4 linked regions of the Tamandua tetradactyla genome follow. The protein of the gene in region 3 interacts with the protein of the main gene of each other region in a biochemical or structural test. Links are inferred from orthologs where the notes say so. Each region holds a gene or a part of one and is shown on either strand. Other genes may lie near its edges. The genes, in order: VDR, peptidyl-prolyl cis-trans isomerase-like 1, SNW1 and RBPJ.

Region 1 (7,522 bases), on a different chromosome or scaffold from region 3:
TTAAGCCCTGTGGTTCTCTCAAAGCCTTTCTTAGAATCTCATGTTCCAGGTACTAAATGAAGGGATCCCACGGAGCTTGCTCACATTATTCAGGAAGATGAGATTCAATCAAAACCAGGGCAGTTAACAGTTGGGGAAAAAAAAAACAACCACAACACAAAAACCTGGGCAGTGCCCTCGGTCCATTGGTCACACAAACAATCTAGTCAGCCTAGCTTATAACCCAGGGCAGAATTTTTCAAGCTAAAGCTCACAACCCATTAATGGTGGATCCCATAAAAAAAGAAAGAAATGGTTGAATCCATCCATTTGGTGGATCTCATAAGAAAGAGAAAAAGAGAGGGAGGGAGGGAGGAAGGAAGGAAGAAATGGTAGAGAAAATAGTAGAAAATATTGAAAGCATTGTAGGATATCTGTATTTCATAAGGCTTTTATCTAATTTATATATGTGCATGGGTTTACTAGGTCATGATAAAAACTTATTTCCTACTTTGTGTTGCAGTTAAAACTTTGAAAATCACTGTCCTGAGAAGACCCTTTTTGTTTGGTTTGCTTTCATTGCTAATAGCTTCTTCCATTTATTTATTCCATTTTCACCGTCTAGAACACAAACAGGATCCAGTCCTGGATCTTTTTTGTCCTGATATCGATTAGAAAAGATAAATGAGCTAGCCTTTCTGGACTTAATTTTTTCAACTCTAAAGCAAGAGAACTGATTGAAATGGATGGGCTGGACCCTTCTGTTTCTATGACTTCATGATTCCATGTTTCTCAGAATGTTCTCTAGATACTTACCGGGTAAGAGGCTTCCCTTTATTCCTATCATACCTGTACCATAAAATATTTAAGGGGGAAAGGGCTTTAAAAAAAGGAAAAACAGGTGGGAGTGCTCCAGAGAGAACTCAAAGGACATACTTTTACCTGGAGAGAATCCTCTGGATCGCTTATCCTTCTGTCCTTAGAGACAAGGTCTCTGGGAACCTCTGTAGGGACAAGGTCACCACTTCAGCTCTGGCACCATGGCAGGAGGTCCAGAGAGTGCCAGCCAGACTAGGGGACAGTGGCCAGCCTTAAGGAAAGGGGAGTCCATCAGTTGAGGATAGGATGAAGCTCTGTGGCCTGACTACAGGCCTGCTCAGGCCACCTATAGGCACATAAAAACTGGCCTCAGATCCTGTGGAATGGCATGCACATGGGGTGGCCTCAGCTTGGCATTTCTGGAATCATTCCTCCCAGCTAGGAATCTCCTGGTTGGGCTCCTTTGTTTCTACACAGACTGTTGAGTTTATAACACTATAGTGTGGTGTCTTTCCCATAGCACTTAATATATATTAATTTATCAGAGATGAGTACTGACAAAAACACAATCTGAGAATCCCATAAAGACAACCATCCTCCCTTCCAGAGACAAGCAAGAGTTCTAGAAATATTAACTTCAAGGACAAGAAAGAGATAATTAGTGTTTTCTGCAGAGGTTCTGATGCATACCTCATACAGCAATCAAGCTAAAGTTTAAAGATAATGATTCTGTAGTACAGGAATGCTGAGTGTCATCAAAGGCTTTGAGAGAACAGGGTGTAAAACAGCAGCCTCCCTTCCTAGAACTTGGCTAGGGAGAAGCAGGGTCAGGAGGCAATTAGTGATTACAACAGAACACCACAGAAGCGAATCTGATGTAATCTTGCTTTTCTATTTTTGCAAAATGACATTCCTAAGATGAAAACTGAGGTGAAAATCCATCTTTGTTCAATATGAATGCAAGATGGTTCATTGCCAGGTGACAAGCCATGCAAAACAGACAATACAAAGACCAGAGAATTGACAGGTCTTTTTGGCCTGGAGATGGCTGGAAAGGCCTAATGGTATAGACAAGACCTGAAGGAGGATAGAGTCTCGGGAGACAGATGACAGAGCAACTCAGATATTGGGTGAAGATAAGAAAAACATGATCAGGGATATGTTGATGGGGCTGATGATGGAATGTTCTAGATCTCTGATAACATCTATAATTTTGCAAAGCTGCCAAACTCAAAACCTCTGAGTTCCCAAAGGCTGAGTTTTCTAGACTGTGGTCCAAAAGATAGAAAGTCCACGTGTCTCTGTCACTCCCTAGCTGTAAGAACATCAACAACTCTGCACAACAGTTAATTGTACAAAGACGAGAGTATTTTCTACTCTGCTTAACAGAAAAGGTTGTACTGAAGATCAAATGAGATAATCCAAATAATTCTTTTGATACTGTCAAATTTTACATGTTAGGTATTCTTAGTAGACTACAACCAAGAACTGTGAAGAAAGAGTGTCTTAGTTTCCTTCGCTGCTCAAGCAAATACCATGCAACAGTTTAGCTTAAACAATGGGAATTTATAAGCTTATGGTTTTGAGGCTAGGTGAAGTCCAAATCAAGGCATCATCAAGGTGATGCTTCCTTCCTGAAGTATGGCATTCTGGGGCTGGCTGCCAGTGATCCTTGGTCTTTGGCTCCTCTGTCACATGATGGCAATCTCCTGGCCTCTCCCTTCTCTTCTGGGTTCCATTGACCTTCAGCTTCTTGTTTCCCAAGGCTTCCTCTCTGTCTAAATTTCATTCTGCTTATGAAGGACTCTAGTAATAGGGTTAAGACTCGTGCTGAGGTGGAGCACACCTTAACTGAAGCAACCTCATCAGAAGGTCTTACTTACAATAGATGCACACTTACAGAATGGATTAAGTTTAAGAACATGTTTTTCTGAGGTACATAGCTCCAAATCACCTCAGAGACTAATAGTCAGTTACTATTTTATACTAGTAACTCATGTCTTGCCATGTTTTGTTAAGTTTATTTTCTAGATGACATTCACCTCTGTCTCTGGCACCACAAAAGTGACTTCTGAGTGATTAACCCCTTCTAGAGGTTCACAGACTTCCTGAGAATGTCCCAAAGTGGTGATTATTAGAGATACCCTCTTTCCATGGGAGTCATTGCTAGAGTTTCCATGATGCTTTGAGTTGAGAACATTCTTTTCCTTTCATTACAACCAGAGAATTCCAGACCCATCAGATCAGCCGAGCCTCCAAAGGGCATTTCATCTCTTCTGTTTCTCAGCATGCATTGTCCATTCCCAAGTTCAGTGAAAGGATGGGTGTCGCTTCCATTTTTTTTAAGTTTCCATGACACCCCCTTAACGAACTGTTTCAGTGCATAGCAAACTTCAGTTTCAAGGTTCTTCCTTCTGTTTACCCTCAGTTCATTTATCTTGATCCAATTATTGAGATTTGGAGAGGGGTTGGTATCAAATAGTATGGCATAATTGGTTCAGAAATGGTTCAGAAGCCACTATGCCAGCAGACTTGCTCGACTCCAGTGCTAGCCCTGTATTGTACAGTTGTGTGACCTTGGGCAAATCACTTAACCTCTCTGTGCTTCAGTTTCCCACCTGTTTGGCTTGTCCCTCTGAGCCATGGCTTCTTCCTTTATAAAAGGTGAATAGCAATGCCTTCCCTGCCTAAAAGAGTTCACCAACTGCTAGATGATTTTGTGGGCATCTCTATTGCAGCACATTATGTAGTAATTATGTTGTAATTACTATTTATTTATGAATTTCCCCACTGGATAGTGAGCTCTAAAACAGAGGGAACCATGTCTTTTTCATCTCCTCCACTGTCCAGCACAGTGCTACCTAATCCATAGTTAGGGAAGCAGCATAGAGTAAACAGTGAGGCCCCAAATTGTTCTTTTTCTTTTCTTTTTTAGCCCAAATCTATGTCAGCTTTTTCATAGTCATCCCCGATTCCAGGTCTTAGTATGTATTTTTCACTTCCTCCCTCCCTTTTACACCAATGTCATGCCGGGGAAGGGGGAACTGGGGATCAGGGCCCCAGAAGCTGACACTAAACCAGCTAGGACGAGATTCGCGAAGAACCTGTAACCTAGCCATTTGTGGTCTCTGCCTAGGGGACATAGAGTAAGAGCGATGATGCAAATCTAGGCTCCACTCCGGCCCCGTTTATTTATTTATTTATTTTAATCATAGCGCGTGGGTTCGGGCTCAGCTCCCTGGCACTCGGCAAAAGTAATACGACGGCGAATGGCGCCCCGAATTTTCCACGAGAGCGGAGAGAGCCGTTGGTGCCCGTCGGCAGGCGCCCCCCAGCGCCCGACGGACGACGGAAAAGTCCTGGCGGTGTCAGCCCAGGTGAGGGTGACGCACCTGAAGAGGCGTCGGTGGAAGGCTGGGCAGAACCACGGCACCTGGGGTGGGGAGTAAAACATCACAGAATTTCGAAGGCAGGAGCGTAGATCTGCACACTTACAGTCATCGAAAACTCCCATGTACAAGAGGTGAAAGCATGCCTTGCTTTAGGGACAGCAGTCGTGAAAGGCTACTTGGGGCAGAGTCTCCAAGGTGACAGTGCAGTGGTTGATTCCAAGTCAAGATGGTTGCAGCGCGAATGGAGTGCCTGGCAAGAGAGGACTGGACGTGTGGGCGGGGCCAAGGCATAGGGCGGACCTAAGGGCGGGGCCTGTGAGAGGGGCGGGGACAGGTGCTGGGTTGTCTCTGCTTGTCAAAAGGCAGCAGCCGATCCCCAGGCGCTGGGAGCGCGGACCAGCGTGTCTACCCGCGGAACCAGGTGCGGACCCCGGAGCAGCCGGGAAGGGGGTCCCAGCATAGAGATCAGGCTTGGGGTGCGGGGCGGTTGGTACCGGGGCTGAATAGCCGGGTGCAAGCACTAGAGTCTAAGTCACAGGGGCAAACTTGGAGACCGAGAGCCGGGCTGCCATGAGGTTGGGGCACTGAGGAGGCACTGGGCTCTCAGAGAGACCACCTGGGTGCTCGGTTAGCTTAATGCAGAAAAGCTCCGCTAGCACAGTGTTCAGCACTTGGGCAACAAGAAACATTTGTTTCCTTCCTCTGTCCGGGTGCCTTGGCACAGAGTGAAGGAGTAAGAAGGGGAACGATTGGCTGTGGATGGCGCTAAATCTTTTGGGGGTGGAGTGTGTAGCCTTATTTATTATCTTGTGGGGCCCACGTGTGGTCACCTGTGCTGGTGAAGTTGGGTCTTTTAAGTAAGGTGTGTTTCCTGCCTTTTTTTTTTTTTTTTAACTCCAATGCTTTTAGACCTATTTAGCCTTTGAGTACTGCATTAATTTCCTCAAGAGACCCTGACCATGGGTGAGGCATAGGCACTCAGGGGCAAGCGTCTAGGTGAGGAGGGGGCTCAGAGAGTAGTTTCTGTCTGAAGGAGGTGAGGGGCCAGGCGTCTGTGGGGGGCGGGTGAAGAGGCTTCAGGGAAGTATATGCCAGGAAGCAGTGTGTAGTCTCCAGTGGGCAGTGGACAGCAGCCCCGGTCCCCCTTTTTGCCCCCCATGGACTGCTGAAGCTGAGACCCAGGCTGCCTGGGCTGGGGATCCCAGGGTCACTGCTCCCAGGCCCTTCCCGCACAACCTCCTCCTCTTTCTCCTCCTCTTCTTCCTCCTCCTCCGTGCGGTGAGTGAGTCAGCCTCCTGTCTGGGCTCAGTTGCAGCCAGAGGGGCCAGAGCCCAGGCAAGCAGTTGGGCAGGCATTTTCTGAGCATTGCAGAAGCTCTCCTGGGCAGAGTTCAGCTCTGCTCCAGCTCCCTGCTGGAAGGCTGTCTCCTTGTGGCTAGTGGTGGCTGCTTCCGCAGGGGGCAGGCGTTCAGACACCCAACACAGCAATAGTTATGGGATGTTCTGATTCCAGAAGGAGTTGATTGAGAAGGGATTGTGGTTTTGTGGTAAATCCATGTCTCTTATCCTTCTCCTAGTATCGTGAGGTCTACCTCAGTCTTCTGCAAACTTTTCCATCCTCCTCATACCATTTCTGTCTAGTGATCTCATTAGTTGCCCTTGTCTGCTGGTGAAGTGGGGGTGCAGAGGAAATTGGAAGATTCCGGGACCAGGGAAGGCATTGTGTTGTCAAAGAAGTCTTTAACCCAAACTAGGGAGTTGGGATGGTTTGACGAGGTGGAGATGGGTTATCTGGACTCTGGAGCCTCAACTCTGTGGACCAAGAGTGTTGAGTGACAGAGAAACTTCCCTCATCCCCCTGCACCCCATCCAAGTGCTAGAAGAGATTGTGGATCTTTTTGGAATAGTGTTGAAACTGGCATGTGGCCAGACTGGGAAGTAGTAAGAATGTAAACTTCTTTCTGGCTTTTGTTTTGGATGCTGTTAAGATCCTTGAGCAGAAATAGAAGGCCCAGTGTCCTTTGATTCTACTCAAGAGCCTCTCTGGACCCAAGTCAGAAGAATCCATGGCAGCCAACTAGGCTGTGGAGCTGACTCAAACTGCAAACAGCTGGGGAATTCACAGTCTGTGCTCCGGCTGGGTCCACAGCTTAGGGTTTGGCTGGTCCCTGATCAGCCATGACTTGGATCCTGACCAAGCTAAAGGAGAGACTGAAGAGTAGGGTCAGAAGGAGGAAAGGAAGATCCTCACTCCTCTTCAGCCAAGCCTATCACTTGGTCCCAATATTGTGGAAGGTCCAGGTTATGTTGTGGTGCTCAGGTAATTTGTGTTTATGGTTTCTCTGTCTTCTTCCCCTATATGACCTCAGAACTGATCTCCTTTTGGGACTAAGCCCCAGAGGAAGCTCTAAGAGGACCTCTTTAATTCTTTCTCTACCCCTCCTCCCAATAACAAACAGCCAGTGTCCAAAGCCAAAGTCCTAAGCCAGTGTCTTTCATGTGGAGGGATTGACTTGAACCTAGTGTTATCCCAGTCAGGAGGAGGAGTGGAGTTCCTGTTGTTTGCTTCCTTACGCAGGTAGGGATCAGCCTTGCAGAGATCTGCCACTGAAATCTCTGCTAGAAATCTGCTGCTGTATAATACTCAACAGTGGCGATCTAGAGATAGAAGTGCTGAAGTCAGGAGGACCTGGAAGTCTGAGCTAGTATGACATTCCAATTTGTTCTCCTCACTAATGAACAAGGAGAGTTATAGGGCTCCAACTTTCCATTTGTCACTGTTGCTATTCTCTTTCGGATGCAAGTAGAAGGAAGTAAGGAAATGACTATATTTGCTTAAGTGCTTTCTGAGTACCCAGCATGGTGCTTGGCCCTCAGATGGATGGCAGGAAGCAGAACCCACTGCTTTTGCCCCCAAGAGATCTTAGCTCCAGGATGGGCAGCAGCCCTCCCACCACTTCTGTCTGGTTCTGAGAGGCTCCACCTGGGGTGAAGCCAGCCTGGGTGTTGCTCTCGACCACAAAGACTGTGCTTCTAGTTATGTTCCTCCCTGATTTTCCCCTAACCTCTCCAATCTCAGTGCCCTCCGGGGTGGAATAGAGAGTGACTATATAATTTATCATCCAAACTGGGACACATTTTAGAATGAAAAGGTGTGCTATTAACAGTTATACCAGGACAATAGGCATAAACTGAAAGTGTCCAGGGCAAACTAGAATTTTGAACCCCAGTGACAGAGGTCCCTAGTGAACACCTCTGCAGAGGCTACAGGGGTGAGGGGAAGATAGGGGTACTTAATTCAGAGGGCAGCCCCTATACCTCAGCCTACTCCCT
Region 2 (7,280 bases), on a different chromosome or scaffold from region 3:
TTAACTGTACCTGTCCCTGTTGGGTCGCCTCCCTGGATCATGAAATCTTTGATGATTCTGTGGAATTTCGTGCCATTGTAGTAACCTCTACGAGCCAACTCAGCAAAGTTCTTACAGGTCTTTGGAGCGTGCTTCCAGTACAGCTCCAGCACAATGATCCCCATGCTGCAGGCGGAGAAGACAACATCACACCAGTCAAGAGCAAGGTCATAGGAAAAAAAAAAAAAAAGAAGAGCAACGTCATAGCAGACAGGAATATTATGGGACTACTACAAGATTTTCAAACTTATGAGTCCTAAAACTGTGATAAGCACCAGATTTCATGCTCAGCAAAGGAAAGCAGCCCATTGCAAGTAACATGAACATACATATTTCCTTTAAGTAAAACGTGAAGGGCTTTCTGGACTTTCTTTTAAGCAAAATAACAACAGAGGACAACTCAAAATTCGAATACCTTACAAATAAAAGTAAATCACCAGTCATCTGGAACCAAAATAACCAACTTCTAAATTAGGACATAGAAATCTTACACGCAATATGTGAATTTTTTAAAAGGGGAGAACATTCAAATACTTTTCAGCCATAAAAAGGAATGAAGTTCTGACACATGTGTCAACATGGATGAACCAAGAAGGCATCCTCTCTGACTGAGAAAAGCCAGACACAAAAAGATGAATGTTGTGTAATCTTGCTTATATGGAATACCTAGAAGAAGCAAATTTCTAGAGGCAGAGAGTAAATTATAGGTTACCAGGGGTGGGCGGTGGGAGAGAAAAGGGAGTTATTACTTAATGGTTACAAAGTTTCTATTTGAAGTGAAGAAAAAGTTTGGGTAATAGACAATGGTGATAATTGTAGAACACCGTGAATGTGATTTACACAACTGAATTTTATGCAACTGAATTCAAGTTGAATTTATAAAAATTTTAAAAATACACACTGGAAGTGCATATTTATACATGCATTAGTTTCTAGGTAGGAGTGGGAATTGGTAGTTCAGCGATAAGGATGACAGGAAGATTATTCAATAGATGCCTTTTATAAATTCAGGTATTTTGAACCATGAAAATGCATAACTTATTAAAAAAAATTTTAACAGGAAAAAAGGTACAATTTGCAGGTGTTCGGGAGAAGCCCCAACAAAGACAAAAGAGTGTTTTGTTTTTGTTTTCAGTACTGCTAAGAATAGGAAAGAGGTAAAAGGGTTAGGACAGAAGCCTTTCCCTCTACCCTATTACTCATCTAAGAATGTGGGAAGTGAGTCAACTGCATAGCCTGGCCTATGATGAGGCTTTGCATTTTGTAATCACGCTATAAATGTATGTGGAGTGTGCCAGAAGACAGCTTTCTAACAGTCTTTCTGCCTGCAAGCCATCCTTCACACTAGTAACATTCAACAGGGATTAATAGTTACTCTGTGCAAGGCACTATTCTGGATGTTTTTGCCCTCAAGGAATTTACATTCTGTGGATAGTTTTTAAATACAGGAATAAACTTTTGAAATGTAATTGAGAAGCAACAACACAATTTTGAAAGGTACAAACCTTTTGACTTCTAAGATGAGGTTGCTATGGAAAAACTAACAAAAATGCCTAAGGTTACAGTATGTACAAGGATGTTAATTCCAGTACTCCAGTATCATTTGGAATGCTCTTCAAGTTGAAAATGACTAAAATACAAAACATCCATATACCGGAAGGAAATGAAAGAAAAGCAAATCACAGGAAAAACACACACACACACACACATATATATACAGTATGGTAATATGATCCCATTTTTTGTTAAAAAAACAAGAGTTATTTGTTAAGAATACATAGAAAAAGATCTGGAAGATCATCCAACAAACTATTAATAGCATTTACACAGGGAGGGCTGGCTTTCATTTCTTACTCTATACATATCTTCACTGCTTCAAATTAAATTTTTATTTATTTTGTAATTTAAAAAATGTTAACTAACAAAAGTTCAGAAATTACTTTCAAGTTGGGGCCTGGAGAAGTGGAATGTTGGCATATAAGGTGGAACAGAAGTGGACCAGGGAGCAAGAGCAGCACGAGGAAACGGGGTCTGAGAATTCTGTGCTCTGGTGAAAGCAGTGTGGGCAAAGACCAACGGAAGGCAGACAGACAGACAGAAAGGGCTGGACCCTGGCTGCTGACTTGAGAGTAGCAGAAGTTGTAGCCGGTACGCCAAAAACCAGATGATTACCAGATTAAAATGTCTAGTCTTATACTGCAGCAGCAAGAAGTCACTTAAGATTTTTGAGCAGGATCTCTGACCTTACTTTGGAAAGATCACTTCAAACTTTTTCCAAAGAGGCAATGGAATGAATGGGGCTAAAGAAAGTAGGATGTGAGGCAGACAGGCCACGCTCTAAACGAGGTTCCCCTACTCAACAGCTGTGTGGCTTTGGTCAAACGATTTAATTTGTAAATTTCGGCATTTCCTCCTGCTTAAATTGGAGGGAGCTGTAATATTACCTACATCATTTCGGTTTCTAGAAGGGTTAAACTGTAATCGCATACATCGGGGCATTGCACCAGCTGGTCGGTGCTTAATTATATTATAACACGTTTCTGAGAGTCAGGAAAATGTGCTTCTGCCTGTGTTCTGACAGTATCTTGTTTCTACAATTGCCGTACTTGCTACCTATCTGTCTTTTCATCATACTATGAGCTCCTAAGGGCTGTGTATGTTTTATCCTACGTGCCTGGTCAAATACATGCTTGTTTACAGAATGAATGAATGAAAGGAGTGGAGGAAGCTGTCGCTGCGGTCCAGGAGCTAGTCCTTGTTCAATTCTTCCACGTGGAGGCCTGCTTCCCGGGGAGCGCGCCAGGTATCGAGTGCCCCGGCGAAGTGTGGGCTCCGCGTCGCCTCCGCCAGCCCAGCCCCAGAAGCCCGATTTCCCTCACCTGGTCTCCAAGTAGACGCTGGGCGGCTGCCAAGAGTCGGGAGGAATCGCCGCCATGGCGAAGCCGGAGGAATCCTTCCTTAGCAATCGCTATTTCCGGCGTTGATTAACTGGGGACCCGCTGCCGCAGCGCACACTTCCGGTCCTGCAGCTCAGCCCTTTCGATTCCAGGGGTTGGGGGGTTGAGACAAGGAAGAAAAAGGGCCCTTCTGCCACAGGCGGTGAAGCTACGGTGCAAGGTGAAAACTGGTTGGAGCGCAAAAACAGAGGAAAATGCAAACTCCATTAGAGGAGGTGTCGAGGCAGTACCCCGCCACACTCTGGACGAAATGATTGGTTCAGGGAGGCAAAAGAGACGGAAACAAGCAGCAACGCTGCACTCTGACTGGGAGTTATGTCCTAACATTCAATTTGGATAATTTTCTAGCTCCGCTTTAGGGCAGAGATCGGAAGAGGAGGAGAATGAAAGGGTAGGAGATGAGAAATGCCTAAGACGCTGTAGTTTACGGTGAGATTACATTTTCTTATCTCCGCAGAGCAGTCATGTAGAGCTTATTATTTCCTTTTTTTCGGATGTGAAAACTGAGACTCAGCAGTTAAAGGATTTATTTGTCCAAGGTCATACAGCAAACTGAGCCGTGAGACTCCAAAGGCTAAGAGTGAGGGGAGAAGGAAGGGGGTAGATCAGGAAAGAAAATGCAGGTCAAAGGGATCAGGGCAAGAGCAAGGCTTTGCTGGAATAGATGATGCTCCAGAGTTGTCACGAGGGTTAACTCAGGGCCAGAGAAGCAGCGTGAGAAATTTGGAGGGAGGACCAAAGAGAAATGGGGTAAACTATTGTAAGTCCTTTAAAAAAAAAAAATTTATTGAAAAATATTCACATACATTCCGTACATGGTGTACAATCAGTGGCTCACAGTATCATCACATAGTTGTGTATTCATCACCATGATAATTTTTAGAACATTTGCATCACTCCAGAAAAAAAAAAAGGAAAAAAAAGAAAACCTCATGCATCCCATACCCCTTACTCCACCCTCTCAGTGACTGCCAGTGTTTGAATCTACCCAATTGTTTACCCTTTATTCCGCCCCGCTGTAAGGCATCAGGAGCTCGCCTCCTGCCCATGAACAACATCTAGTAATGGGGCCAGGATGTGGGAATCACACAAACATGTTTTTTTGCAAAAGCTAATAGCACTTTTTGCTTCTGTAGATAAGCTTGCTTGCTTTCAGCTGCAAAACCAGGATGTGGATCTGTGAAACTAATGCCATCTCTCTGCTTCTGTGAATAAGCTTGTGGTTTCAGCCTTTATAAGCCCACCCTGCAAGCCCCACGGTGCTGCTCTCTGACTCTTCCTTCTTGGGATTTCTGAGGCAGTCGCCGGCTGGCTAATAAAGACTCCAAATTGACTGGCTAATAAAGACTCCAAATTGACTTGCAGTTTTGGAACTTGGGGTCTCTCTTTCGGGGTGCCCCACAATATCCCCTACTATGTATTTATTTTTTATCCTTATTTTTTTACTCATCTGTCCATACCCTGGATAAAAGGAGCATCAGGGACACATGGTTTCCCAATCACACGGTCACATTGTAAAAGTTATGTTGCTATATAATCATCTTCAAGAAATAAGGCTTCTAGAACACAGCTCAACAGTTTCAGGTACTTCCCTCCAGGCACTTCAATATACCTTAAACTAAAAAGGGATATCTTATATAATGCATAAGAATAACCTCCAGGTTAACCTCTTGACTCTGAAATCTCTCAGCCACTGAAACTTTATTTTGTCTCGTTTCACTCTTCTCCCTTTTCGTCAAGAAGGTTTTCTCAATCCCTTGATGCCAGGTCCTGGCTCATCTTGGGAGTTCTGTCCCACATTACAAGGGAGATTTACACCCCTGGGAGTCATGTAGCGTGGAGGGCAATGAATTCACATGCTGACTTAGCTTAGAGAAGCCACATCTGAGAAACAAAAGAGTTTCTCTGGGGGTGACTCTTAGGCATAATTACAAGTGAGCTTAGCTTCTCCTTTGCAAGAATAAGTTTCATAGGGGCAAACCCCAAGATCAAGGGCTCAGCCTGTTGATTTACTTGTTCCCACTGCTTGCAAGAATATCAGGAATTCCCCAAATGAGGAAGTTGAATATTTTCTCCTTTCTTTCCAGTCCCCCAAGGGGACTTTGGAAATACTTTTCTTTTTCTGCCCAAATCACTCTGGAATGTATCGGTGTATCACACTAACCTGTACAAACCAACAAGATCTCATGCCCTATTCAAGATTCCATGTACTTATGGTGTTCAACTAAACTGACCATACAAGTTAAATTAGGTAATGCACTACTCAAAATATAAATTTTGCACCAAATAAACATTTCTGCCTTTGGTCTCACACAGAAGTTGAAGTTTTAAAATATGGACCATATCATCCTTTACCCTGTATTCTGATTTACTTTAGTCCTTTCCAGTTCAGTTTCTTTCATTCATATCTCTAGTTGAAGTCTGATCACTTTTTCAACTTTTAAACAGTTTCTGTATGGGGTAATACTGACTTTCATAGCTTCAGAGTTCTAACTTTGAATCTCAGGTGTCACATAAATACCTGAAGTTTCTGCAAACGGCCAGGTTATATACAAACAGCTCAGTATCTCAGAATTTAGAAATAGCAGTTACACCTCCTGAATATATGTGACTGCTGTAAGAGCTTATAGTGTATGACCTTTACAATAGGCCCTGACCTGATGACCCATGCTCTTGCTATTACAAATAATGCTTCATGTATATATATTTGTACACTTGTCTATGAATTTTTATTGGGTATTGTGTTAGTTAGATTCAGTTGTCAACTTGGCCAGGTGAGCATACCTAGTTTTGTTGCTGCGGACATAAGCCAATGGTACCTGAACCTCATCTGTTGCTAATTACATTTAAAGTCGACTAGGAGGCGTGTCTGCTGCAGTGAGTGACGTTTGACTTAATCAGCTGGTGCTTAAATGAGAGAGCGCAAGGTAGCACAGCCTAAGCAGCTCGGGCATTTCACATCTCAGTATTCACAGCTCAGCCCAGGCCTTTGGAGATGCAGAAAGAAGTCACCCCGGGGAAAGTTGTTGGAACCCAGGGGCCTGGAGAGAAGACCAGCAGAGACCATTCTGTGTCTTCCACGTAAGAAAGAACCTCAGTGGAAAGTTAGCTGCCTTTCCTCTGAAGAACTAACAAAATAAATCCCCTTTTATTAAAAGCCAATCCGTCTCTGGTGTGTTGCATTCTGGCAGCTAGCAAACTACAACAGGTATATAGCTAGAAGTATAATTGTTGGATCATAGATTGTGTGTGTTATAACTTAGTAAACACCAGACTGTTTACCAAAGTGACTGAAACAATTTACATTCCCACCAATAGTGTGTGAGAATTGCTATTATTGTTCTACATTCTCACCAACACTTAGTATTGTCAGTCTTTTTTTATACAAAAAATTCTGGAGGTTGTGTAGTGATATCTCAGTAATTATTTCCCTAACAACCTATATTAATGAAGTTGAGCACTTTTTCATATGTGTATTTGCTAGTCTATTTTGATATCCTCTTTTTGTGTTCAAATCTTCGGCTCATTTTTCTATTTGATTGCCTTTTTCTCATTTATGGAATTCTTTATATATTCTGAATGCAAGTGGTTTCTACCACTTCATGGCACATCTTTTCATTGTCTTACTTGTGTCTCCTGATGATCTAGAAGTTCAAAAGTTTCTAATTTTAACGTGGTCTAATGTGTCAATCTATTTTGCAGCACTTCAGAATTCTGACTAGTCACATTTTAAAGTGCTCAACAGGCAGTAGCAACAGCTGCCATACTGAGAAAGCAACCCTAAAGCTTTGTTTTACTTTTCTCATATAGATCTGCAATGCCCCGAGAATTTATTTTGATTATAATGTGAGGTAGGAGTCAAATTCAAATATTCAGGTTTTTCTGTATTATACACAGTTGAACCAGCATCATTTATTGAAAAGATTATCCTTACCTCACTGTTTATCATAAATCAAGTATCCCTATATATGTATTTCTTTTTTGGCCTCTCCATACTTTGTTCCATTGGTTTGTCTATTCCTGCACCAATATCACACTGCCTCTATGACTGGCACGTCATAGCCTGAACCCAGTAGCACTTTATTTGCACCTCTATTAAAGAAAGCAGTTAATAACTTTGGCTCTAAAGACTGGGCGGGAAAAGGAGACTGCATAATGCTACACAAATTAACTTCTCCATAAACTGTATTTGGTCAGTATGATGTAGATAAATGTTGTGGGGCTATTTGTCTTAGATCACTGAAGCGGTTTCATGAGGTAACGAATATAAAAAGTCAGTAACAC
Region 3 (7,688 bases):
CATACCATCTTTATACCACCCTAGCCTTTTCACCTTTCTTGAACTAAGAAATCTTAACATCTACTATTCTCTCTGCCACAAATTATTAAAAATAAATTTTCCTGTAATGCTCTTATAGAAAACTCTTTCCCAAAGCTTTTCATGGCTATGTTCGTGTCTCTGCTGCATCACACCTTAGAACCATTTTCTGACCACCCTGTTTTAAATAAGTTATCACTCCACCCCAAACCTGAGTCACTCTCTATCCTATTCCTTTTCTTTCATTATTTTATTCCTAGGATTTATTATCTGAAATTGCATTATTGACTTATACAGTCTGTTTCTCCTAGAATTTAAGCTCTGTCAGGTGAGGGAGTTTGCTTGGCTGATTCAGTATTATAAAACCAGCACTAGAATAGCGCCTGGCACACGGCAGACCTTTCAACAAATGTTTGCTAATTAAATGAATGAATTAATCAATGCATAAATTGAATTGAAGTCTTGGGCTTTTTCCATTTTTGTTTTCAGTAAACCATATACAATCAACACATAAGAGGGATAAAAAGAAAGCAACAAAGAAACCAAAATATTTACTTCTGTTTCATTTCTCTTTACTTTTTACTGGAAGAAGTCATCACTAAATGATCCAAAAGCAGGCAGCCTGTCAGGAAGCAAAGGGTTTGGACAATCCAGTAAACAGGTAGCAGTGCCTGGATTTTGGTCAGAACATACTCTAGTCTCCAGAATGCCTTAACATTGTAATTTCCTGTAGAGGATGACATTTCCTTAAAGAGGCAGTCTACCATTGGAGGAGGGGGCTGATAGCAGGGCTGTTGAATAAATAAAACAGACTGTTGGTTATGTGCACAGTATTTAACCATCATGACTGAGGGGCAGTATCACTGGTATCTATTAAAGGCCAAGGATGCTGCTAAACATCCTACCATGCACAACACGACAGCACCACAAAATAATCATCCAGTCCAAAATGACAAAAATACCATTGTTGAGAAATTCTAGCCTACCATTTCCCTCTTAGTATCAAAAGACTATCAAATGCATGTGACAACTAACCTTAAACACACTTGAATTTCGAAAATTAAATCCATCAGGCTTTAAACCTTTAGTTAGTATTAGTAACAATCACCAGTGACACCAAGAATGTAACTGACCCTGCTGTTAAGAATCTCTGGTAGATGTAGGAGATAACATAACACTTCACCTGTAAATGTTTGAGACCATCTCCAAAAATCAAATCAGCTAGAATTAACTCAACAAAATAAAAAATTACTTAGTCCTCAAAGACTAGCCATTTAAAAACTGTATTGTGCTGTTGCAATTTTAAGCACACAATACATCTTTGGTATTTTTTCTGTGTCCATTTCAAATTCTGTCTGTTGCACAAAATCTTCCTTTATAGCTTTACTAGTCTATATCACAATACCTTGCACCTGGAGGACACTTCACTGTCTGTTAACATTTACTAAAGAAAACTCTCCAATACGCACAGCTCATTCCATCCAACTCTTTTTGCACTTATGGTTTTGCACTTATGGTTAAGAATAGCGTTTTGTGCTGTTCTTCAATTGTTTCACATTTGTATGCTTTGCCCGTCCTCTTCCCTGCAGCCAAAGATTTCAGATTTCCCTCCATATACACAACTCTTAGGAGGGAGCAAGGTACCCAAAAGCAATTCTCAAAATAATTTTCTGATTAAAACTTAGGATTCATAACTGTGCCAGGAAAAATGCGTTGAATGAAGTGTTAAGGGAGCTCAAGCCAATGCCCTAAAATGATTACTTTTAAAAAGATAGCCAAACAATAACCCGTTGTATAACTATATCAGTTTATTTATCTATCCAGTTGTTAAACGTGGATTGTTTCCACTTTTGGGCTATTACCAATGCCACTACGAACATTTGTGCAATCATCTTTGCATGGACAATTTTTTTTCTCTTAGGGACATACCTATAGCGGAACTGCTAGATCACACGGTAACTCTAATTTAACAGTTTGAGAAACTGCTAGTTTGTTTTCCAAAACATTCCTGCCAGTAAGTATATGTGAATTCAAGTATTCCACATCTTCATCAACACTTGTTTGAAAATAGCCACTAAAATGATACTTTTTTTTCCAGCCCTCTTCGTCAGTAAAATTTTCCTGCTGAATTCACACGAAAAGTTTTTCAAGTTTAAATGGGGCAACAAGGTCACTGAGGAGCAGAAGTTATATAACTTTTTAGAATCCCACACTTACAGCACCATTTTCTCAAAGGCGAGGACCACTTTACATACGGTTACCAAGGCAACCGGCAACAGCAAAAATCTGAAGGTGTTCTATCCAGGAAAGAAATTCTAAGGTCCAAAGTTAAAGTGGGAAGCAGCGGAGCATATTAGTAGATAGCGGTCACTGTTGAGACTAGTTTAAAATTCCTTTCAGTTCTCGGTCCCTTTCTTCAGGAGTGGACGGAGAAAGGAGAACCTCGGCAGACAAACGGCTGGAAAGCAGCTCAGTTACCTCCCTCCAGCTTCACTCCGCTGAAGCAAGCCACTATGCTCCACATCCCCACTGCTTCCACCAAGTCGCTCTCCGCATCCCCCAAGATACTTAACCGAGAAACATGTGCGACTCCTCAGCACCTGAGGGCAGAAAACTATTCGCCACACCGTGGTTGTGGCCCCACTTACAGGGAGAACTCAACCCGAAAAGGCGCCCAGAGGAGACCCCAGCTTCAGCGAGGCCTAGTGGCCGCGGCGGCCGGCGGGAGGGCCTACCCATGCCCTCAGCCCACGTCGCTCTGTGCCCTGGGCCGTATTACCGCCCGGAGACAGTAGTCAGAGAAATGAAAATGGTGGGTTCTCCCAGAGCCTTCCGTATCGAGGACCCGAATCAACAACCCACCTGGTGAGCGCCATCTTCTTCCGCTTCTTCCAGCGCTACCGACCGCACCGAGGGGCGGACCTTTCCCGGCGACGAGGCGGGGAAAGGAAGGAGCATGCGAAGCGCAGGCGCCTTAGCCGAACGGCCTTCTGGGATTTGTAGTTCGTTGAACAGTAGTACAATTATGCTCGCGTTTAACCCGACTAAGTAATTATCATTGGCTAATCGCTTCAATTAAGAAGAATAAATACATCACACGTGCATAAGTATCACATATACCTTCCCTAGGCAAAATAACAAAGTTGGAGGAAGATGCTTTTTAGTGCAGCTTTGTTATTTTTATCCTAAATCAGTCCCATTTCCCTAGTAGAGTCTTAAACACAAAACCCTTCAGGGGTTATTCACATTAAATAAAAAGGTGACGGGGACTTCACATATTGGCAAGTCGTGAAACCGGCGAATGAACAGTTCTTGGACGCTCTGAAAACGTTCACATTCAAAACTTTTTTTTTTTTTTTACATTGTGTTCTCACGTGAAACACTCCTGGGAAAGTATTTTGTTATCCTTTAAAGAGTTACTTTTAGAAAACTCCTGGTATGTACAATGTGCATATGTGTTCTAAATTATATGTTTAGGTACACGGAAATTATGGGTTAAGCATAATCCTTGAGAAAGTGATAAAATAAATGAGATCTGCTTCAAAATATTGAGGAAAGGGAAGTAGGTGGAGTATAAATGAAGCAAGACGAGTCTTGAGGGTTTTTCTTTTTCTTTTTCTTTTTTTCCAAAGCGAAGAAAGATAAAGGCAATAGCTTTCAAAGCACTCTTCAACAAGAATTACAGGACAGATCCCAGAATTTGTCATGGGCTACCATATCATCATCTCAGATTTTCCCTTCTAGCTGCTCCAGAACATTGGAGGTCAGAAGGAATATGTATACATTTTATCATCATAATCAACTTTTTCTTCTTTTTGTGAAAAATGACATATACAAAGAAAAAAAGCAAACCAATAAATTTCAAAGCACGGCACCATAATTAGCTGTAGGACCGATTTCAGAATTTGGCATGGGTTACAATTCCACAGTTTTAGATTTTTACTTCTAGCTGCTCTAAGATACCTACATAAACATCACAACAGTAAGCCTCAAGATCAAGGGCATGGCCTATTGATTTGGGTGTCCCTAAAGTTTGACACAGTATCAGGGAATTCCCTGATGGTAAAGTTTAATAGTTTCATATTTTTTCTCCCATCCCTCAAAGGTCTTTGCCAATACTTTTTTATTATCTGCTTAATATATTCTAGGATGTATCCAGGCATTACATTAAGCTATACAGGATTAAAGACCCTCTTTCTCGGCTCCCTGTGTTTTATTGTTCAAATGAGCTATACAGATAGGTTGAGTTAGATTATGAGCCACAGAAAATTTAGGTTCCAGACAAAATAAACTTTTCTTCCTTTGGTCTCAGAGTATGTGTGGTATAGACAGTGTCCTCTTTACCCCTGTGTTCATTGGTGGTTTCTTTAACCTTACACTGGAAACATAAGCAATGAAAGAAAAAATAGAAAAATAGGACCTTCTCAGAATTGAAGATTACTGCTTCAAAGGACACTGTCAAAAAGATGAAAAAGCAGCCTACTCAATGGGAGAAAATATTTTGAAATCACATATCTGTTAAGGGCTTAATTTCAAGAATATATAAAGAAATCCTACAATTCAATAATAAAAAGATGAAGCATCCAATTAAAAAATAAGCAAAAGTCTTGAATAGACATATTTCCAAAGAGGAAATACAAATGGTTAAAAAGCAAATAGATGCTTGACATCACTAGCTATTAGGGAAATGCAAAACAAACCCACAATTAGATATCATTTCGCACCTACTAGAATGGCCCCTGCTAAATAAATAGAAAACTACAAGTGTTGGAGAGGATGTGGGGAATAGGAACATTTATTCCTATTGAGAACATATTTCTGGTGGGAATTTAAAATGGTGAGTTTAATAGTTCTATAGAAGACAGTGTGGCAGTTCCTTGAGGACCTAAATGTACAACTGCCATATGATACAGCAATCCTGCTACTAGGTATAGATACTCAGAAGAACTGAAAGCAAGGATGTGAATAGATATTTGCACACCAATGTTCATAATAGCATAATCACAATTGCAAAGGATAGAAATAACCCAAGTGCCCATCAACTGATGAATAGATAAACAAAATGTAGCATATATATCCGGTGGAATATTATTAAGCTGTAAGAAGAAATGAAGTCCTCACGCATGTGACAAAATGGGGCAACCTTGTGGATATTATGTTGAGTGAAATAAGTCAGACACAAAAGGACAGATATTGTATGATCTCATTAACATGAACTAAGTATAATGAGCAAACTCATGGAGTTAATATCTAGAATATAGATTAGGAGATGATAGAATGAGGCTAGTAAATGGGGGGCTGATACTTAATTTGTCCAGAATTTTTAGTAAGATTGATAGTAAATTATTAGAAATGGATAGAGGTGATGGCAGAACATTATTGCGAATGCAACTGAAGTGCTGAATTGTGTGTGTGATTGTGGTTAAAAGGGGAACTTAGGGTTGTGTACGTCACTAGAAGGAAAGCTAGAGAATGAAACATGGGATTGCATAGCACAGTAGACACTGTTTAGATGACGAAGGTGGTTCACAGTACAAATATAAGAATGTTCTTCCATGAACTAGGACAAATGTACAACATTATTGCAAGGTGTTAATAACAGGGTGGTATGTTGGTTTGAAATGATTATGTACCCCAGAAAAGCTATCTTCTTTAGTCCAATTTTGTGGAAGCAGACCTATTGTTGAGTGGTACCTTTGGACTAAGTTGTTTTTATGGACCTGTGACCCTGCCCATTCAAGGTGGGTCTTAATCCACTTACTGGAGTCCTTTAAGAGGGAAACATTTTGGAGAAAGAACAGACACTTAGAGAGAAAAAACACCTCGGGAGATGTTAAGTCAAGAGATGAAATCTAGAGTTTGCCCAGAAGAAGAAGAGAAGTTAAGGGAGGACTCACAGATTCTTAGAGAAAGAAAGTGCTCCAGCAGAAGCCAGAAGGATTTACAGGAGATGAGAGAGCCATTTTGAAGCCAATCCAGGAGAGAAAAGCCAGCATATGTCACCATGTACCTTCCCATGTGACAGAGGAACCCAGACACCATTGGCCTTTCTTCAATGAAGCCATCTTCTTGTTGATGCCTTAATTGGACATTTCCATGGACTTAGAATTTCAGCTTATAACTTAATAAATCCCTTCTGTAAAAGCCAATCCATTTCTGGTACATTGCATTCTGGCAGCTTTAGCAAACAGAAACAGATGGGGAAAAATACACCTACTGCAAGCTATGGACTATGGTTAAAAGTAATATTACAATATTCTTTCATTGGTTGTAACAAGGTTACCACAGTAATGCTAAGAGTCAATAGTAAGGGGGTATGGGGGTTATGGTGTTTTTCTTTTCAGAGCACTGAAAATATTCTAAAATGGATTGTAGTATTTAATGCACAACTATATGATTATACTAAGAGCCATTAATTGTATACACCGGATGGATTGTATGGTCTGTGAATAAAACCGCTTTTTCCAGAAAACCCTCTCATTCTCATCACTGTATCCCTATCACCTATGCCTGCACCGAGTTGGATAGGGCCATACTGTGGATGGTTGAAATATGTACACCAGCAAACATATTTTTTTATCTTAATTTGCATTCCTATGGGTGTGAACCAATTGTAAATAGGAACTCTGGAAGATTAATTTTTTTAAAAAATTAAGGTAAGGTCAACTCAATGAGAATAGGCCTTAATCCATGTTACTGGAGGCCTTATTTACAGAACCCGGAAGTCACAGAAGCCAGAAGGGAGAGGACATCACTATATGATGGGAGGCAAAGATACAAACCAAGGAACCTCAAGGATTGCCAGCAGCCTAGGCTAGAATGCTACAGACTCTGGGAGAGAGCAAGCCTTGCTGATATCTTGATTTTGGACTTCTTCTAGCCTCAAAACAGAGGGCCAATAAATTCCCTTGTTTAAGCCCACCCAGTGTTTGGCATTTGTCATAGCAGCCTGGAAACTAAGAAGCTCACCCTCACTGGATTTCAGTTTTCTCTTCTGAAAAAGACAGAGAGGGCCCAGATAATCTCCAGGATCCCCTTTTATTCTCGATATTTTTTTTTAAATAAATTAAACCTCTGAACAATGAGGTTTAAACATTTCTCTTTCTACAAATTATTGATACATCTAACAACTTGGATGAATCTCAAAGGTGTCATACTTAGTGAAAGAAGCCAGTCTCAAAGGTTACGTAGTCTATGATTCCATAAATGGCATTCTTGAAAATACAAAACTAAGGGGACAGGGAATAGATCAGTGGTGGCCAGGGATTTAGGGCTAGGGGGGAGGTGTGACCACTACAAGTGAGTTTTTTAGGTGGGATGGAACTGCTCTGTATCCTGTTTGTGATGATGGTTACATAAATCTGTATGCATTAAAATTCATAGAATTATATGCCAAGAAAAATCAGATTTGCTGTATTATTCGTTTGAAGGTACCAGATTGGAATATAACAGAAATGGAAGAGCTTTTACTAAGGGGATTTAAAAAGTTACAAGATTACAGCTCTAAGTCTATAAAAGTGTCCAAACTAACTCATGAATTAAGGGAAAGATGCCTTAATTCAGGAAGGCTGATGGATCTGAAACACCTCTGTCAGTTGGGAAGTCACGTGACTGGCACCTGCTGGCCCCTTACTCCTGGGCTCCATTTCTTTCAGCCTCTGTTCCTGTGA
Region 4 (7,981 bases), on a different chromosome or scaffold from region 3:
TAAATGACAAAGCATTAAAAAAAAAAAAGTATTGTTAAAATTGTCATTACTGTTAATAATTGGCCTAGAGTCTGTGAAAACATTTTATGCTACTATTTTATTTTGAAAGAAGTCAAGAAGAAAGTCATCTCATAAGTTACAATGTGTTATTACATTTAGGTTTGACAGATCTTCAATCTTTTACACACACACACAAACACACACACAAAATACCACCCTATCATTTGTTTCACATGTCCCTCTCCCTCAAGTTTATAAGAATAAAAAGTATCTGCTTTATTACCCAAACTATAATACACATTCGGATTTTTTTCATCCTACCATCACCACTGTAACTTGCCAAGAACCGAGTAGAGTTCATAACCTCTCATTTGATTTCCTATAAAACATGACCTACTTATTCAGCAACAATTCCTAGACCCCAACCATCCCTTATATCCAAGGATATTCTCTGCAAATCTTAATGCACAGCAATCCTGTACAGATAGGGCAAGTATTACAATTCCCATTTTACTACACAGTTAGGAAACTGGCTGAGGGGAAGTATAGTAACTTGGAAATAATCACAAAGCCAGATGCCAAAAATAACAACTTTAAGTCAATCCATGAGAAAAAACTGCCCCTAGCTGAAATTTAGTATTAGGAGGAAGCAAAATGCAAAATAATGCTTTAAATCCAAACCCGAAGTTTTAATTTAAAAATTACCACATACCAGAATTAAGAAGATATGAAAGAACTACCAAAATCCTTTTTTCTAATGCCTTACCAATCTAGTCTCCCAAAAAGTATTTAATGAATTACATGTGGCAAGAGAAGCTTTTTATCTAAACCATTTTTTTATATTCTAGCCACTTAAAAGATATCGATAGAAATCTGTTGGTATAGAGTAAAAGGCAGCCTTTCAGCAAACCTAATGCATGAAATTTAATGCCTAGAAGCATATTTAGAATCAATCCTAAATTACTGCAAATGTGTCTCCACATTTTTTCCTGAAAATAAATTTTCCATAGACCTATCTGCAATACACTTGGATGACAAATTTAAAGATTTTATAGTCTATATTCAGAATGAAAGTTCTCCTGCTACAACTCATACTGTATATTTCTATATATGCTGCTGGATATAATTTAATTTAGTAAAGATACTGTTTTATTTTTAGTCACAAAATAAAGGCCTTATGTCACGAAAAAGTACATGATTTAGAAATAAAATGCAAAATGTAAAAGTTGCCCTTGTGTGTGTGTGTGTGTGTGTGTGTGTGTGTGTGTGTACAAGTCAGAATAAAATATCTTCCATTCAGAACCAACAGTGTGCTCAACAATTTTACTTCCAAAGGATGATTATGCACTAAGAACAAGGGAAGCAAATGGTTATTGGTAAAATCCACTCATGGAAACTAAACTGCAAATTTTCATACACCTCCCAGTATAAATCACGAAACTATGATTTCCATTAATTAAAATTTAAATTACTAATTTTAACCACAATCATCAGCCAAAAAAAAAAAAAAGTTTTTCAGTCCACCAATATTCCTCAGACTAGATCTTGTAAATTCTCTCAGCATCTTATGAGGAACATCAGTTTACAAATGAAATGACATGACAAAATGATTCTTTAAGTAACATATCTTCTAAAAATAGTGGCCAATAGGAGAAAAATAGTAATTTTTAAAACCCTGAATATATTCATTCTAGTTATCCTGGTAAGTCTAATATCTCATATTCTGAGCACTAGAATAATTCAAGCCATTAAAATACACCACCACCAAGATTTTAACACTAACGTAACAATGAGAATTTGGAACCACGTAATGTTCCTTTAACATATTAGGAAATGCACGTAACTAACTTTAAGACAATCTTCCTTAAGACTATTACTTATATAACTTTTAATTGCATTTTATTAATATAGTTCAGAAAGATCCTAGAAACAGTATTCATCAACCAGAAACTGCACTCTTAAGTGCTCTCCTCATTTCAACCCGAATAAAGGAACAGAAGGGTTTTCATAAATATACAGAGCAAAATCCACATAACTGTGCCTATCTGGTGCTTAAGAAAAAAACAAAACATTTATATCAAATCAATTCCCAAGCAGAATGTCTTCCTTCCTTTTTATAAAACAAAAGTTAACCAGACTCTAGATATACATTCTAGAAAATACTGAAATTCTCCATCCCAACACTCACAAGTTTTTAACAACAAAATTCACGCAACTCCTACTTACACATCAAATGAGTATCTAACATGGTATCCGAAACTATTCTCAAACACCAACAGAAAAAAATACCTTGCGTCTCCTTTGAACGTCTTAAATACCTTTCGCCCATCCTCAGGTAACCCAGATGCAAAGCTACAGACTGCTGCCCTTGGCCTAGGCCGTCCGGAACCGAGGGGAGGGCGAGAGCGGCGGGGCAGGTGGGCAAGAACCATCACAGACTCTTTTCCAGGGCTACTGTTAGCAAGCAAAACAACTACGGGCCCAGAAACCGCAAAGAAAACTGAAGACATTGTAATCCCGAGAGAAAGGGATGCGGAGGGAGGAGTGGAGCCGGGGAGGAAACTAAGTATCACCATGCATCTTTCAGACCCACTAAAACAACACCCCGCAGGGTCTGCCCTTAGAAGCACCAGATGGAGTCCTCCGCGCTGAGACAGTTCAGCAGACATACACCGTGGGTAGTGGATAAATCAACCGATGATGGGAGCGGGATGGTGACGGGGGGAGTGCGAGGAAATAAACCACTGGGTCGGGGAGACAAAAGCCTCTGGGGGCGACGAAAGATCAAGCAGAAATGAAAGAGGGGAAACACATGAGAAATACAATTCAAGAAAAATTAAAAGTCAGAAACCTGGTGTCTAAACTGTGGTAGGTCACTGGACTGCCGGGTAGACTGGGGCAAAACAAAGGAGCAAGGGAGCGGAGGAGAAGAGACGGAAAAGGGATGCGGGGCGCTACGGGTCAGACAAAGCGCCCAAGACGGCGAAACAAAGGGCCGGGGGTAGAGGGTCGCGAGGAGCAGAGGAGAAAGACAAAGCGCCCGGGGCCAGGGGCACCGGCCAGGCAACGAGGCGACCACCGCCGCGAGGAACAAAGCTGCACGGAGCTGGGAGGCAGGGTCCACGGACGGCTGCAGCGGCGCGGGAGGCGAGCGGCAGGCACAGCGCCCGCGGGCCCCGCGCGCCCCGCCGCACTCACGCCCACACCCGCCGGCCTCGCCGTCGCCGCCGCCGCCGCCGCCGCCCGCCCTCACGCGCCGGAGCCCGAGCCACCGCGGCACACCGCGGACAGCGCACAGCCACAGGGCTCCGTGCACACGCCGCCGCTCCTGCGATCCCCCGACGCCGAGCGCGCCCTGGCACCCGAACCCGCCGCCCGCCGTGGGCTGTGAGACGCCCGCAACTTTCCCCGTTCGCAGCGCTCGGATTCCCCCGACTTACCCTGTCACAACAGGCGCCATCTTCCACAAACTCTCGCCAAAACTCCAACCCTCGCGAGATTCCCCCGAAGCCTTCTCTAGTCCCTCTCCCCCGCCCCTTCCCTTTTTCCTCGCTCCTCGATTCCACCCAGCCCCCTAGTTCCTTTTCCCTTCGCAGCCGCCGCGAAAGCCAGACGCCTCGCGCCGCCCGCGGAGTAGGGGATCCAGCTTGCTGCCTTCCCTGGAAACCTACCCAAGCAATGGAGCATGCGCAGGCGGCTCCTCCGCGGGCGAGCCCTCCGTGTGGTCCATGGGGAGCGCTCCAGTTATCCGGGTTTTGAGACGTGCCCTGAGGGACGTACGTGGAGACTGAGGAAAACTGGAGGGGATTACAACAGGGACGGGGAATGGAGGGGTCAGAAGGCGGGGCCGAGGGATAGGGAGGAGGGGTCCTGGGAAAATCTGCCGCGTTTCACAGGCCTAGATGAAACACCTCCTCAAATGGGTGTTTTCCAAGTGGCTTCCCGCTCACTCTGGGTTCCCAGCCCTTTTCATTCATTCAAACGTTCATTGGACGCCTCAGTATAAGGTGCTGGAACTACAAATATGCCTGGGGTTAGGGCAAGTGACAGACCAAGGAACTATCTTTATTCTTTTGATCCCCATTGCTAATGGAGGGCCGAACATAATTACAACGTGATCCGCCCCTCCAGTGCTCTGTAAACGGAAAACTTTTGTGGTTGAACTCTGTCGCCTTAGACTTCTACTCCTTGGGTGCGAAGTGAGGTCAGGCCAAGGCCTCTTGCAAAGTCATCTAGAATGTCCACCTTACATACACACGCTAGAGCGCCGAGCAGTTTTCTCCGTAGTGTAAACTGAGTTGGAATTGAAAGCCACTATCACCACAGCCCCTCCCCACCCACCCCCGACCACGGCCCTGGCCAGAGGCCGCAAAGCTCATTCCCTGCCACTCGGTGCAGTGACCTGCCTGCCGCGTGAGCCTCTCTAGGGGCCCAACGCACCAGCCACCATGAGTGAGCCAGGTGAATATAGGGCCAACTCTGCCCAGGGAACCGGCCCTTCCATGGGCCTGGCACAGCCAAGGATGCTGCCAGCTGCCCGCCACGTACATCGAGAGCCCTAAGGTCTGAAAGCCGGGAGCAATTTTGGACGGTCCTAGCATTTAATTGAAAAGTGCAGGGCCCGAACTTCACCCCTCCCCCGCACCTGGGGGTCCCCCCACTCTCCCGCTCTACTCCGCCTTTCCTTTCCTAGAGATTCCCAGATCCTGTACTGCCTCCCACAGGGAGCCCCAAAACCCGGAGAACTGGAATACGCTCGAAACCTGCTTGAAGGCGCTGCAGGATTGGCGCGGCACGCGCGAGCCACACTGCGCATGTGCCCAATGCGGGCAGCCTAGTCTCACGCTGCACCTCCTTCCCACCGCCTTCCACTACTCGCCTCAGACACAACACGGGCCGTGGGAAATTCGCTAAACCTCGCGAGAACGTGCCCGCTGTTGCCTATACCTCGGCCCCAAGTCTCGCGGAGCCCAGGCAGTACAGGTGTTTGTCTCGTGCAGCTCTGGGCGCTGTTCGTGCAGCTCGTGTCCTGGCGGCAGGCGGGGTGGAAAGGGAGCGGCACTCCGCGGAGGCGGGACCGGTGGGCGCGTGGCGGGATGCGCAGGGAGGAGGCTGGACGTCTCGCACACACTCGCGTTCGTGACTCTTCGTGGAAGAAGTGGTCCGTAGGAAAGTAGGGGAACTTGGGAGACTAGAAACCGCTCCCGGCGTGAAAGGGGTAAGAAGTCAGACTCTAAGGCAGGAGGAGCCCCAGACCTAACTCCCGGGGACATTTAGTGTCGCCCTTCACGAGCCTGGTACTTTCCTAAAATGTGTAAGACGCCGCTGCTCCCCACCTCCAGAAGCTGACAGACAGCCCCAGTGTCAGGGTTGAGTCATGCCTGAGTCACCTAGTCTGGTTACCACTTCGCTTGCTTTAAAGCAAGTTCGGATTCCCTTAGCTACTCTTCCTTTAGCAATTGTTTTTTCCTTTCAGTTGTACGCGCTGGCCTGATGAGTTGGGTAGGAAAAAAAAAAATGCCGGTCTCTGCGCTCTCAAATTGTTGGCTAGTTTTTGCTTCCCGTTCAAGGACACGATTTTTGAAAATCCGTCTTCCGCCCCTAATCTTTTTAACCTTTTGAAGTAATCCTTTCGTACCAGTTTCTGTTCTTTTTTCTTTCCCTCAGTTAATGTGAATCATAATTTTGGTTTTGCTTCCCTTCCCCTTTCCATATTTTCTTTGAGTATTCATTCCATTTTAGGTATTGTTTTGTGGGGTGCTTTAGTGACCACTGTTTTAACTGTATCCCTTTCCTTTTGGGTTTTTATTTTGTACAGTGAGTTCCTAGTTACATTCTTCAGTCAGGCACATTTTAGATTGCCCCGGATATGGTTTCTATACCAACCTTTTCTAACATTGCTTCCTTGCTGAGAGCACCCCATAGATCCGCAAATGTAGAATTGAATTTTGATTCCTGAAGGACGCTGAGCCTTCTAATAGGAGCTCATGTTCTGATGGTTTTGTAGTGGACAGTAAAATCAAGTTTCTGTTGTTTTCAAAGGTGTTAGTGTGTATGTGTGTACCTAACCCTTTCATTATGTATTCCGCATAGAAAAATAGCATTTAATCTCAAAGCCATCCTGGTTTGGAACAGTTTAGCTCAAAAGGAGGACCATGGCCTGGACACATATTCCTGGGAGCCTTCCTCCCGAAAAGACATTTCACTTGTGGTCTAGTCCAGGTCACTGATCGAATTTGGAACTATGACCTGAAAGTCCCAGCAACCTTGAAAAGGCATAACCACAAGTATAATCATAACGCCTCATCTTCACACTAAAACCCTGCCCTGAAACTGCTCTGCCTGTGATCTTCTCTCCATCTCAGTAAATGACAAATCCATCCTTCCACTAACTTAAACCAAAAAACTTGAAGCTGTTCTTGCCTCCTTTTTCTCTCACATTCAACATCCAACCTGAGAGAAAATCATGCCGACTTCAAAATACATCCAAAAGCCAATTTCATGTCAGTTTCTACTCACCCAGTCTAAGTTATCTCATTTCTACCCTATCTTGTAGGAAGTCTCCTAACTGATAACCCTTCTTCTTATCTCGCTTCCCCTCATTCTGTTCTCAGTAGAGCATGCAAAACTACTGTGACCCTGGGTTCACAATTCTCCAGTGCTTTTCCCATTTCACTGAGCGTCCCTTCACAGTCTGCCCTGCAGCAGAAACCTCTTTGACCTCACATCTCTTACTCTCCACCTTACTCGTTCAGCACTAACCAGCTGCTTCCTTGCTCCTGGGATACACAGCACACTGTCAACTCCAGACCTTGCTCATTCTGCTGCCTGGCATGTTCTTCCCTCTGGCACCTTAAGGCTCACTTAGGATTCTTGTCTATTTTATTCACTGTTCAAGCCTCAGCCCCTGGAACAATGCTTGGTTCATGGTAGGCAGGTACCCCATATTTTTAGAATGAGTGGGGTGTCCTCTTTAGAGGAGAACAAAAATGATTTTGAAGACTCAGTAAGCCTTTTAGGTTTCAAAGCAGCATTGAAGTTATACCAGTACTGTGTAACCTAGTGCAAGCCTACATGGAAAGAAGGGGAAAGTCTACAGATCAACCTCCTGTCTTGACTTTAGGTAAAAATTAAAAGTTCTTACTCCTGGGTTAGACCAGTAAATGAAGTCACACTTACTTTAAGGGGTTCCTTTATTCTCCATTTTAGAATCTCTGGTTACTAGTAGGAGTAAAAATGTGTTTGATATTTATGGAAAGCTTTTTGGCAAACTTTATCCCTACCTGTTAGTCTTACAATTCAATTCCTATAAATTTATCTTATGACTATACTCACATATGTAAAATTACCTATCTATTACAGCACCATTTATGGTAGAACGTACTGGTAAATACATTCCATTAAGCCTAAATATCCATTAAGAGATGTCTTATTTTAAAAGATCATGCTGTATTTATAAAATGGAATAGTATACATCTGTTAATAAGCAGAGGCTGCCATTTATGTACTTACATGGAAGGTTCACAAAGATACAGTAAATTCAAAAAGCCAAGTGCAAAACAGTGTTAGATAAATATATACTTACTTACCTATATGTATCTAAAATGACTCTGGGAGGATACAATAGAAACTATAACGTTAACTGCATTCTAGTAAGGGACTTGATGGTTGGCGAACAGAGGGGAGGGGTTGGCTTATCTCACTGTCTGCTATCTTGAATCCTTTGACTTTTGTACCACGTGCAAGTATTATTGCCTACTCAAAATACAAAATGTTAAGAAAAGGAATAAACATGCAAGAAAAAAAATGACCGAATAAAATGGATTCTTCTCTGCCATTTCCTAGTAGAATTATTTTCTAATAGAGTTTATATATGTAGTGTACCATCTCAGTACAATTAAGAACCAGAAACTGCTGTCTTAGTACTATATTAGTAATAGTATTCTCCCCGGCCATTCATACAGCATGCTTAGAGTATCTA

Evidence for each region.
Region 1: the proteins of SNW1 (region 3) and VDR form a complex in vitro, tested with the Homo sapiens proteins (2 studies listed by BioGRID, with this or other methods). The link is inferred for Tamandua tetradactyla from reciprocal best matches to the Homo sapiens genes SNW1 and VDR.
Region 2: the proteins of SNW1 (region 3) and peptidyl-prolyl cis-trans isomerase-like 1 form a complex in vitro, tested with the Homo sapiens proteins (2 studies listed by IntAct, with this or other methods). The link is inferred for Tamandua tetradactyla from reciprocal best matches to the Homo sapiens genes SNW1 and PPIL1.
Region 4: the proteins of SNW1 (region 3) and RBPJ form a complex in vitro, tested with the Homo sapiens proteins (2 studies listed by BioGRID). The link is inferred for Tamandua tetradactyla from reciprocal best matches to the Homo sapiens genes SNW1 and RBPJ.

What each region holds. Positions count from the first base shown.
Region 1 is NC_135333.1:107,855,922-107,863,443, reverse strand, and holds the start of VDR (vitamin D3 receptor), read left to right. Parts: upstream 1-4,518; 5' UTR 4,519-4,611; intron 4,612-7,522.
Region 2 is NC_135331.1:93,682,821-93,690,100, forward strand, and holds the start of peptidyl-prolyl cis-trans isomerase-like 1, read right to left. Parts: upstream 3,007-7,280; 5' UTR 2,975-3,006; coding exon 2,919-2,974; intron 166-2,918; coding exon 11-165; intron 1-10. UniProt on the Homo sapiens protein: Involved in pre-mRNA splicing as component of the spliceosome. PPIases accelerate the folding of proteins. Catalyzes the cis-trans isomerization of proline imidic peptide bonds in oligopeptides. Catalyzes prolyl peptide bond isomerization in CDC40/PRP17.
Region 3 is NC_135338.1:37,116,520-37,124,207, forward strand, and holds the start of SNW1 (SNW domain-containing protein 1), read right to left. Parts: upstream 3,001-7,688; 5' UTR 2,895-3,000; coding exon 2,881-2,894; intron 2,342-2,880; exon of another isoform or gene 2,244-2,341; coding exon of another isoform or gene 2,236-2,243; intron 1-2,235. UniProt on the Homo sapiens protein: Involved in pre-mRNA splicing as component of the spliceosome. As a component of the minor spliceosome, involved in the splicing of U12-type introns in pre-mRNAs.
Region 4 is NC_135345.1:26,657,919-26,665,899, reverse strand, and holds the start of RBPJ (recombining binding protein suppressor of hairless), read right to left. Parts: upstream 3,015-7,981; 5' UTR 2,670-3,014; coding exon 2,290-2,669; intron 1-2,289. UniProt on the Homo sapiens protein: Transcriptional regulator that plays a central role in Notch signaling, a signaling pathway involved in cell-cell communication that regulates a broad spectrum of cell-fate determinations.